Danio rerio: one gene and its partner. The protein of the gene in region 2 interacts with the protein of the main gene of each other region in a pairwise test. Links are inferred from orthologs where the notes say so. Each region holds a gene or a part of one and is shown on either strand. Other genes may lie near its edges.

The links.
Region 1: the proteins of wdr6 (region 2) and ptpn3 interact in binary tests that used the Homo sapiens proteins (3 or more experiments, as listed by UniProt). The two-hybrid records come from large-scale screens. The link is inferred for Danio rerio from reciprocal best matches to the Homo sapiens genes WDR6 and PTPN3.

Annotation. Positions count from the first base shown.
Region 1 is NC_133191.1:29,690,006-29,695,973, forward strand, and holds part of ptpn3 (tyrosine-protein phosphatase non-receptor type 3), read left to right. Parts: intron 1-3,375; coding exon 3,376-3,463; intron 3,464-3,570; coding exon 3,571-3,659; intron 3,660-3,970; coding exon 3,971-4,034; intron 4,035-4,213; coding exon 4,214-4,344; intron 4,345-4,439; coding exon 4,440-4,565; intron 4,566-5,968.
Region 2 is NC_133183.1:28,126,972-28,133,452, reverse strand, and holds the start of wdr6 (tRNA (34-2'-O)-methyltransferase regulator WDR6), read right to left. Parts: upstream 3,913-6,481; 5' UTR 3,809-3,912; exon of another isoform or gene 3,726-3,808; coding exon of another isoform or gene 3,723-3,725; intron 1,976-3,722; coding exon of another isoform or gene 1,946-1,975; coding exon 1,849-1,945; intron 945-1,848; coding exon 1-944. UniProt on the Homo sapiens protein: Together with methyltransferase FTSJ1, methylates the 2'-O-ribose of nucleotides at position 34 of the tRNA anticodon loop of substrate tRNAs. Required for the correct positioning of the substrate tRNA for methylation.

The DNA of each region.
Region 1 (5,968 bases), on a different chromosome or scaffold from region 2:
TGTATCAATCCACTGGAACCTTGCAGATGAGTGATTAATCCGCTGATAAATCAGCTGATTTGACGATGTTTTTAAATGCTTTCTCCAAAGCTTGAAACGCTGTCAGTGATGTAATCAGCACACAAGCAGCCAATAGTGTTCAGCTTTTTCTGACGACTCCTCCCTCAAAATTTCATTGGCTGTGGTTTGGTAGCTTGAATGAGCTGATGGGGAATGAGTTGTTGTCAGATCATGTAGTGTGTGACCCCCCTCTTGTGGATCATTCACAGAGTGTTGCGTAGTGTGAACACCTCAGAGATTAAAAGACACAAAGTCAAGTCATGTAGTGTGAACGGCACAGCGAACTGCTGATGTTAAAAAAAATCCTGTAGTGTGAACTAGGCTTTAGTCACACCACGTGGCACTACCTGCTCTGCTTTTACTTAAAAAAAGTTCACTCAAAACTGAAGATTCTGTCATCATTTATTCATGCTACACTTATTCCAAACCTCGCTGAGTTTATATCTTCTGTTCAACCAAAAAGAAAAGAAGATCTCTTAAAGAAAGCTGGAAAACTGTAACCATTGACCTACGTGGTATTTGTTTTTCATAGTGTGAATGTTAATGGTTAGCGGCTTTCAGCTTTCTTTAAAACATCTTCTTTTATGTTCAGCAGAATAAAGAATATTAAAAAGGTTTGGAACCACTTTAGGGTTTTAATTTTCTTTTTCTTTTTTTTTGTGAAGGGTGAACTATCTCTTTACCATTACACAATAACAAGTGACAATGTTGGATTAATTTAACCATGCAGGTTCAAAATAAAGAGTGAAATGTTACCAGAATTGTAAGGCATTTTGTGTCTTGCTCTCTAGTTTCTACAGTGTCAGACATGGTAATAGTAATTATTTGCTTTTAAAGTAGTTTAACTGAATTTTAAGCACCTGAAAATGTGTTCCTAATGTCAATATACTAGCCATGATGCCATTCATCATCTCAGCTACCTTCTATACACAACACCCATAGTTTAATTTTCTTTAAAAATCATAGAAAGTCAGATGCGAAAAAGTATTTATAAGCACATAACATATTAAAACCCCACATAGATGTGGGTGGGGTGGGGGTGATTCTGTCATAGTCAGACTTGCAGATCTGGCAAAGTGTGGATGAATAATTAAAAAGCAATGCTGTAGTACCAATTGTTCAAACATGATTTTTCAGTTGTAAGATATCTTCTATTGAGAGGTTCTTGTTTTTGTCATCATGTGGGTCGATTTTTAAACCAAATGGGAGGAAGATTTAGATACTGATTTTGATGAGGAAACATTGGATGACATTTGGTCTTAGGCTAAGAAAGTATCTCTTTGTACACGTACAAGAGAAATACAATATAAAATGATACATATCTCCATACATGACTCCACATTTCTCCTCACCACAGACATCTTTTTAACCCTTCTAATTTGCCTCTGTGTTTAAAATGTAAAACTGATGTAGGTACTGTAACAGACTGCAAAAGTTTTGTTTTTGGTTCTGAGGAAAATGGAAAAGATCTTTAACATGCAGCTGGATTTTGACCCAGTTTCACTGATTTTGTGTATACCTAATAGATGCATTTGTTCATCAGCTAATAAGAAATTGTATAATATATTAACCTTTGCCGCCAGAAAATTTTTTTACTTTACTGGATTAGTGATAAATCTCCATTACTTAAAGGTTGGCACTAGATGCACAAGATCATTTTTGAGTTAATTCCCCTGGAACATCTTACCCATGTTTTACACCAAAAAAACAGAACATTTTTCCAAAGTTTGGATTCCATATTTGGATTATTTAGAAGCTAGTCTTTGCCCTATCATAAAAAGGAAAAGGAATGTTGAAACTGTATTATTATCTGAATTAGATGTTTTTAGCCCTTATTCTGATCTGTTTTATTTTGTGTGGTCCTGTTTTATATATAATCTGAACTTTTTTATTTTCCTTTTTTCTCCATTGTTTTGTGTCAATATTTGTCTTTTGAAGATGTTTTGTTATGTCTGTGTTATTGTGAAATTCCAGTAAACATAATTATGAGCTTCAAAGTTTTTGCATTCCATATAGCAAACAGTATGTGTGTAACATTTGTATTTTAAATAAAAAATCTTAAAATGTAAACAATTTATAAAAAAAAAAATCCCAGAATGTATAATGTATAAATTGTCATTAAATCAGATTATGTCAATTTTGACAAAAACGTCAGATAGAACCTTATAATTCTAAGGTGATGATTTAATGGAAGTAGGGTTGTGCGATTAATTGAATCGCAATCATGGTTTGAAACATTGCGATTAGCTAATCGCAGAAGGCTGCGATATGAAATATATATGTATTATATAATTTCCCCCACCCAGAGCAAATGCATGACTGCTTTCTGCATGTGATAGTCTTACTAGCCAATTGAGTGAGCACACTTTCGTTCTGCCCAAACAGAATTGCGCAACCAAACTGTGGAAAGCCCACAATAAAACATACAAACAAACAGGAAAGAGTGGATAAGTGGGATGATGGCGTTTGCCGCTTCATAAGCATTAATAGATGGTAAATGTCAGTAATATGGGAATATTTTGCTTTCAAAGTCACAGACACCAAACAAAAACAGGTCATTTGTAAGAGCTGTCACAGAATTGTTGCCACAGAATGAGGAAATACAACAACCAGCACTTAAAAAAGCACCACAGGCGGCTATTTGAGGAGTGTCTTGCTAAACAGTCAACTAAATTTATTGCCAGTGACACTCAATCTAGTAGCTAGCAACAGCAAAGGACAATTTCAGTGTTTTTTGCAGCTGTTACACCATATGAAAACATCACAAAGGCACCAGGGGATAACTAATGCCAGAACTCACTACTGTTTGCTCTAGATACAAATTAATGTTTAGTTTCTGAATATTTATAAACAAATTTGAATAGAAGTTGGAGTAAGTTCCTTTTTTAACTAACGCTCACCTCATTTTAGCAGTAAGAAGCTACAATACAGAATTTTGAGACAACGCTTGACTGCAAAATTAAATCGGAAATCAAATCGAAATCACAATATCGAAAAGTCAAAAAATCAAGAAATCGCAAGTAGATATTTTCCCCAAATCGCACAGCCTTAAATGAAAGTATATTTCTCTGGTTAAACTTACCCTATACTTATCTCTCAAATTAAATGGTAGTTTAACGCTCAATAAATAGTTTTAATTTAATTTGACTATTTTTTTTACCAATTAGCATGGAATGGGAAAAAATATATTTAAAAAAATGTGATTTGAAAAAGCAAAACTGAATTTGGAAAAAGATATTACACTGATTTCACTGTGCCCTATTTGATTTTCACCGCATGCAGAGTTTAACAGTGCTTGTCTGAATGTGTGTTCAGAGGTCTCTCTCAGAGTGACGCCGAGCTGTGCTATTTAAATACAGCCAGAACATTAGACCTGTATGGAGTGGAGCTGCATCATGCTCAGGTGCAATTTGCATTGAAAATCCTGCAGCTATAATAACATGTAATCTTGTTTTAAATTGGTCATGTTGATGAATGATTTAGTTCTCTTTTTTTAATCCCTGTCTATAGGATGCCAGCAACCCTGCCGTTTGGGTGGGCATTACATCAGGGGGCGTGGCCTTGTTTTGTCATTTAATTTGCTCCAGCTTTTTCCCCTGGTGAGTTCTGCCAATCAGATCCCTTTCCCTTTCTCTCTTTGTAAGTACATATTTTGACACATGCTTAATTTTTGTTCTTAAAAAGTCCACTTTTTTAACATTAATGTTTCTCTCTACTATAATTGACGTTTGAGAGTGCTACAACTATCGGGTTATGATCTGTGTTGTGATTATCATTACAATGAATAATTTACAAACACTGCAGAAAAGTATAATTAGTGTTATTAGTCTAATTAAAAGCCCTCAAACCACTGTTTTGATTCTGGTGTCATTTATTTCTGCACACTTTTGAATGCCTCCTTTCTTTTCAGGATTAACATCATCAAAATTTCATTCAAAAGGAAGAGGTTCTTTGTCCACCTACGCCGAAAACATGTAAGATACGCATGCCTAATCATGCTCATCCATCAAAACAAAAACAAAACACATAAATTAGCCTAATAAAGCCACATATTTAATGCCTGAAAGAGTCTGAACACTGCAAAGGCAACATCTTTGTTTCCGACTTGATGATTTGTGTTGTGTGTTTTTCCTCATTTTAATATATTGCACAGGGTGAGCTGGGCCACCATGTGGTTTCTCTATCCATGCCAAATTCACGTGCCTGTAAGAACCTGTGGAGATCCTGCGTGGACCACCACACCTTCTACAACAGGAAACCATCTCATTCAGCTTCAAAACTGAGGTGAATAGGCAGTCTTTATTCCTGGAGTTAATTAGAGATCATTGCTGCCAACACCAAATGAGTATGTGAGTTTAATTGCATGTGTTTTGTTAAAGCTCTATTCCCCTGTACCGAAAGCTGGTAGGAGAGCAAATGTTGAACCCAATGGTGAGGTCCAGCTCAGTGGAACAACTGGAGACCAAGAGTCTACCCTCACGGTCACCACCTAACACACCTAACTGGTAACTATGCTATATTATAGATCTTTTTTAAAGGAATGATTGAAAGCATTTTATGTATGTATTGTACAAACAACACAAACTTTTTTTTTTGATGAATTATAAAAGGGCCATTATATTTTACAACATAATATTATACAGTTGAAATCAGAATTATTAAACCTCCTTTGAATTTTTTTCTTTTTTTAATATTTCCCAAATGAGGTTCAATAGAGCAAGGACATTTTTACAGTATGTCTGATAATATTTTGTCTTCTGGAGAAAGTCTAATTTGTTTTATTTTGGCTAAAATAAAAGCAGTTTTTAATTTTTTAAAAGTCATTTTAATGTCAAAATTATTAGCCCCTTTAATCTATATATATTTTTTGATAGTCTACAGAACAATCCATGGTTATACAATAACTTGCCTAATTATCCTAACCTGCCTAGTTAACCTAATTAACCTAGTTAAGCCTATAATCTCACTTTAGGCTGTAAAGAAGTGTTTTAAAAAACATCTAGCAAAAAATCATTTACTGTCATCATGACAAAGATAAAATAAATCAGTTATTAGAAATGAGTTATTAAAACTATTAGAAATGTGTTAAACAAATCTTCTCTCTGTTAAATAGAAATTGGGGAAAAAAATAAACAATAATAATTAATAATTCTGACTTCAACTCAAAATAACATTGGGTCATTTTTCATTGAAACCATGCTATATACTGTATGTATGCATGTATATGTGTGTGTGTGTGTGTGTGTGTGTGTATATATATATATATATATATATATATATATATATATATATATATATATATATATATATATATATATATATATATATACATATATATACATATATATATATCTTTTGAGTAGAAGAGAAACACAATTTTCAACTTTCTTTTTAAATGCAAATGAGCTGCTTTTCCACACCCCCTTTATCAGAAGTGGGTGGTTACTTTGCAGCTGTTACTCAGATCAAACAAATGATCTTGCTGTGTTCTTTAAAACCTCGTCTGATTAAACGTCCTGACATTCTGAGCATACAGATGCCATAAATCCTCTTTCATTGTCAACTGTTAAATACACACTAGCTTTTGTCAAAACATTCCCACAGTGTTTTGTATGTCTTTAATAAAGGCAGTTGGTGACAGTGTCGGGGAAAGGTACTTTTGAATGTAACATATTACAATATTGAGTTATTCTCCCAAAAATTAACTAGTTGCATTACTTGGTTACTTTTTATGGTAATAAAATTATGTTACATTTGCATTACTTTTTCTTACCTAGCCGAAGCTTGATCTCTTTCAGAACATTGGGGTAGTTTTTTTTCTTTTTTTTTTTAAAAAACAGAGAAGCTCTGCAATTAACACCACACTGTATAACCTACACCTTCATTCACTTTTTTCTTCATTGCTTTC
Region 2 (6,481 bases):
CACTCTCCACAACCTTACTCCACCATCAGCACCTCCAGTAGCCACCCATCCCGCCCTACAGCTTATACTTCCCTCGCTTACAGCCAGAGCCCTCACGCCACCTGACTTATGCCCTCTAAATGCACATCCCACCTTCCCTTCACCTCCCCATTCCCAGAGCAGGCATGCACCATCTTCACCAGCACTAAATAAGCGGCTTGGTGTAAGCTTTACACAGAAGACTCGTGCTTGATGTCCATAAAGCACCCGAAGACACGTTGGCGATTCCTTTCCACAACCTGCATCTCCACCCAATGTGCCAACGCTCCACAAACGAACACTGCGGTCATCTGAAGCAGATGCCAGCCACCCAGATTCCTGAAGGTAGCAAAGGCTGAAAATGACTCCACTGTGGCCCAGTAGACGTCTCTCTACTTGGGACTGACCACTGAGCTTGGTTCCAGCTGGCCTCCACAAAACAAGCTGGTTGAAGACCGTCCCACCCACCAGCACTACAGAGTCCCAATTTGGACCAACCATAAGTGCTGAGTAAAGAAGACAAGTCTCTACGCACGAGTAAAAGGAGATAATGTTACCAGACTCTGCTTCTAGGAGCATGATGGCATTGTGGGCCAAGGATATGCCTAACAGTGAATGAGGTTGTCTTTTAAAACAATGAATGTCCAGCACCCAGTCTTGAAGCTCCAAGAGAGGACCAATCAGTTTCAGGCACTGCCCTTCAGATTCGAAGCTGACAAGCCGAACTCCTTTTCCTCCAAAAACAATAATATCTCCCTTGTAGCTGTTGTCCGAAGCAGAGCTTGCACCACTAAACGGTATTCCTCCAGACTGATGTTTTTTATATGGTCGTATCCCATGGATACGGTAGTTTTGGAGTACATTTATAGATGCACATTTCTTAGGAGATGCTTGAAGACTGTAGACAGAGAGGATTGGTCCCTCCCCTACAACACAACACAATTGATAGGGAAGAATCAATCAAATGAATTTTAATATGAGACACAAGTGCACTTCAACATAACATTCGAATATTATTAAAGAAGGAAATCTTAAAGCTAAATCAGTTTATTTGGTGAAAACATTGATAGTAGTGCAAAGCAGGCAATTGAACACAGTTACAAACAAAACATCTAAAACATTTAAAATAGGCAACATTGCAGAATTAGAATTTGTAAAATCAATAGCAGAAAATTATACAACTATGGAAAAACAAATGAGGGGATTACAGTGCAATTTAGAGCAACCTCATTATGAAATAAACACAAACACAATGGCTGCATCCAAAATCGCATATTTGCATACTATATAGTATGTTAAAAACAGTATGCAAACCGAGTAGTACATCCGAATTCATAGATTTAAAAAAACAGTATGCGAAAAGTACCCGGATGACCTACTACTTCCGACGAGAATCTGAAATGCATATTTGATGCACGCTACGCTATCACATGATGCCCAGTGAGAGAATTTATGAATGTGAGTGAAGCAACGCAACTGATGTTTTGGTCACATGATGATGACAGAATGGCAGATGTAGTAGGTCAGAGTTTCATTCATACTACTTACATTCATACTTTATAGAACATACTTTTTAAAAGTAGAGTAGTAAATTCAAATACAGTGCATTCTGAGTAGTAGACAATTTCGGATGCAGCCAATGTCATTGGGATTATTAAATGCACTAAATTTACCTAAAATAATTTGAGGGACATTAGGAGACACTTCAGGTTGCTTAGAGAAATCACATCCATATTGGCCCATGAGTCACAGTCTACATAATTTACTTCACCGTGGATTGTTAGCTTGTTGATTTGCTTCCTGTTCATTAAAAGAATGAATGTCAGTCACCTGTCAAAAGAAAATCCTCCCCTAGGAATTCCAGTGCAGTGATGGGAGCAACAAGCACAGCACTCTTCACCACAGCAGACTCTACAGGAGATGCCATTTCACAGTCTGCACAGCAGGCTGTAGACTTCTGGGGCACACACACACACACACACACACAAACATTACAGCATTATTCATTACTGACTGATCTCCTGAAATGTCATTTTCAAAAGGCAGAACCTGAACAAATGCAAAATGCTTGCTATGGCATTTATTACACGATCAAATCGATGTTATGATATAATAATAATTAACCTACTAGAGCTGCTGGTCACATGGCAGTTACCAAAGCTACTAAATTTGTTTAAATAATTTGGAATAATATAAAACAGAGCTGTCCAAACTTGGACAAAAGTTGGCCCACGGTAACCTTTGATTTGGCCCTCCATCCCATCTAAGAGGAGAGGTAAAACGATGGGGAATTTTGGGGAGAATGCCAATTTTATTTTTACATAACTTTTGTTTTTGTAACTGTCGAGGTAAAAAAAAGGCAGACTGAAATTAAACGTTTCACATAAAGCTATGAAAAGCTATGAATGAAAGCTATGAATCAGAATTAATTTTAATTAATTAAAAAATATTTAAAGTAATTTGATGGATAGCGGACATTGCAGAAGACATCAGCAAGCCAATTAAGGCAAAATGATTTTTGTGTTATAAATGGGATTGTTTATGTTTTTTATTGTAAGATGTTCATTATAAAATGTACAAAAGTTTATAATTGTTAATGCAATAAAAATATTTTAAATGCAATAAATTATGGAATTAATTAATTTATATAATATAATAATAAATTAGAAAATAACATTGACAACTTCATGGTTTGGTATATTTACCTCTGGCCCACCACTCTCAATCAAGTTTAGTTTTTGGCCCTTCATAAGAAAAGGTTGGGACACCCCTGATATAAAATAATTTGGGGATACTTGGCAAAATTTGTTTTTAATACTGAAAAACAAAAATTAAAAGTTTCATATCTGATATAAATTGCATATTTTCCAATTAGTCTTTTTAATTTTAAACTGCAAGTAGTGTATATATAATTTATTATATGAAAAAAAAATTAAGTTTGAGGTTAATATGTCAGAAAGCTATCTTTCTGTATGATTTTGTTTGAGTGTTGAGGCAAATATTTCTGCTTGAAGTCGTTTCCCATTAATTTTCACTTCGGTCATTTTTTATCACAATTAACAAAAGTGTGATTATTATTTGTTGTTTCAGGAATATTTTAGCTCTTTATGAAGGCCTTTATAAATCAGATTAGGTAAAAAAAAAATAAATTAATGAATGAAAACATGTCAAAAATTGATAACTACATTTTAAATTAATTTATCATAATTGCAAAACAAAATTGAGTATTGTGCATCCTAATGCAAATATTATGTTGGATATTAATTTTATTTTACAGTAATTGAAATAAAACCACAACACCCTTACTTTAAAAATGTATTTCATTATCTTTACTTTAATTATTCTAGATTATTGACACATGATGTGGATTATTAAGATATGTCAAGTAAACAAACTTTCTTAACTGAATAATTAAGCCCAGACTAACATCACCCATTTACAATTAATTCCAGTTTCCTTTATATTACACGTATATCTGTACTTTGAAAATAACGTAAACCATCACTGTCTAAAGTTAGAAACAAATGATAAAGGGTCTTTAGCCAGCTGGTGTGCAATGACTGTTAACTGCAGTAGGATTAAATTCAATTTGAGATACATGATTTTCCAAAAGGCAGTTGCAATAAAATGTGCTTTTATAAACGATTATCGGTTTACTTTTTACAATAATGAACGTCAGTAACTTATCAGCAAGACATATTTACCATAAAGTGGATCTTCCAGCAGTGATTTTACACGTTTCTCGTACAGTTGTAGCAACCAAAATTCAATTAGCTTAAATTTCACAAACCTGTCTCCTGTAGAGATCGTGCCTTTATTTTAAAGACAATAAAAACAAGGTCGTTTATACTGCATCAAGCATGTTTCGTACTGTATGCATGTGTTTTCACTTCCTCGTTGACACCGAGTACCGTCCAATCGCGCTGTTCAATACTACACACACCGAACCACACTGACAACCGATTGGCTGAAACCAGTCCTGCGCTTTCCACTGTGAAAACGCGTAGATTTGTGCAATTTGCCAGATGCACAAACCATATGTATTGAGCAGATCTCATGAGAATGGTATACAAATCATACGAAATGCACAAACCAGTGAATTGCCTTTTTTTACGCCCTGAGCGTCATTTTGCGCATGTGTCTCCGGTCTGTTATTTAAATTTCTTATGGACCGCTTAAACCCAGGGGGTGGGGACAAAGTGTAATATTTTCGGGATAAAATCGACAGCCTGATGATTGCATGTAAGTAGTGTCAATGTGGATAATATAATAACAGTTGTCATACGCTGTGTGTGTGTAAATGCACAATAGCTTAATTAAGGAGAGTGGTCTCGGGATAGTCTTAAACCGCAGCTCGGGTTCACTTCTAGTGCGATGCTCGGGTTTAGCGCTATGGCTAGCATGACCGGCGGACAAATACAGTTATAACAATTAGTACCGTAACAATGAAAATGCTGCACCTGCACCTGTAGGACTTGGCGAGACATGCATTTAATTGCTTGATTTTTTTTTCTTTGTTCATTCTTTAATAACGATGCGATTCACTCTGAGCGAATTGTTCTTTTGAGTCTGACCATTAATGAATCAGTTGAGCTGGTACACAAAACCGAACGATTCCGAACCGAATCGCAGCGAGCCGAGCAAGCATTTGGCCTAAAAAAAAAAAAACTTGTGTTAAAGCAGCCACTAGAATATTTTGTACAAACATTAGTAGCAGCGCAGAGTTTAGTGCAAAAATACAAAGAATTGTCAGCCAAGAGTAGTCTTGTAAATATCTATTATGTTAATTGCAAAAATTACCTTTATGACAATTTATTTAACAAACTTAAAATTAATGTAAACATTTACAATGTATGTAGAAATAAAATTAAAAAGTCTCAAAGGGATATTTAAAAAAAAGAAAATTTACTGGAAATACGCCAGGGCCATCCAAACTCTGTGCTGGAGGGCCGGTGTTTTGCAGAGTTTAGCTCCAACCCTAATCAAACACACCTGGACCAGCCAATCAAGCAGGTGTGTTAAAGCAAGTTGAAGCTAAAGTCAAGACACCGGCCCTTCAGGACCGAGTTTGGACACATCTGTCCAAGGCCATCCAATTGTATAGTGACTAGGCACAGGATGATAACTGGCTAACATTTTCTTTTATACTGTTCCTAAGGTATTTGTAGTTTTTAAAATGTTTTTTATGACTAATTTAGTTTTTGGGCAGCAGTATCTCCAGAAGAAATTAACCCTCCACATCAAAAGCTACTGGTCAGCCTGCAATTCAGGAAATATTTGAGAAACAAATTATAAACTATAACATCCAAACATGCTTTAGACCTGAAAAGTGCAGAGACTTACTTTAAATCCAAAGAAAAGTATATCATCTTTGCTTCAAATTCCAAAAAAAGAATTACCGCTTGTGGTAACCGCTCTTTTAATGCAGTGTCTATGGGACAGGAAATTCAATTTTACTTTATTCTCTCCTCTGGCTGCCAATTCTTTTCCTCTTTTTGAACGTCTTTAAATAGGTATGTAAATTTTTTTTTAGATAGTTAGATATCAAAAGATGCCTTTTAAAGTTGCAAAGAAATCTGTTTTTGAAACTAATGAAGATTTTTATTATGTCGCCTGACATGTTTACTGTTTCAAAATATTGAAAATGTTTCTTAAAATAAAATGTGTTGTGTTCAAAGGGGGGGAAAGTTGTTTGTTTACCCAGACATTTAAAAAAACATAAACAACTCATTTTAGAGCGGTAATCACAATACCAAGAAACTGGGATATTTTTATCCAAGGTTATCATACCGTCAGAATCTTATACCAGCCCATACCTAGTAGTGACTTATTTAATTCAGTCTGTGTAAATAATTCATTACAGTTCAACTATTTATTTTTTTACAACATTATTCCACAGGCTCACCAAATGGTCCTGAATGTGTTTACAAATCTTGTCACATATCTGTAAATAATATTTCGTGGACAGACGGATCGATTTTCTTCATAAGACTTCAGTGTATGTACAGGAACAACTCATTAGTTTAGTTTTGCCTATATATATATATATATATATATATATATATATATATATATATATATTTATATATATTTCTTTGTTTGAGTCCCAAAGTTCTGGTAGCCATTGACTTGCATTTTATAAATGACCAATAATCCAAATGCAATCTCAAACATAACTGTAACTTATAGCGTGGAAAAAAGAATGCTATGGATCCCTTTCACACGCCTGTTATGATGCGTTTAACGGTCATCAGCATCTTAAATCCTTGAAAGTTTTAAAAATTTTGATTTAAAAAAAAAAACATATGAACATTAATGTGTATTTATGTCTGTAGTATATCATCTTTGCTTCAAATTCCAAAAAACGAATTACCGCTTGTGGTAACTGCTCTTTTAATGCAGTGTCTATGGGACAGGAAAGTAAATTTATTTTATTCTCTCCTCTGGCTGCCAATTCTTTTCC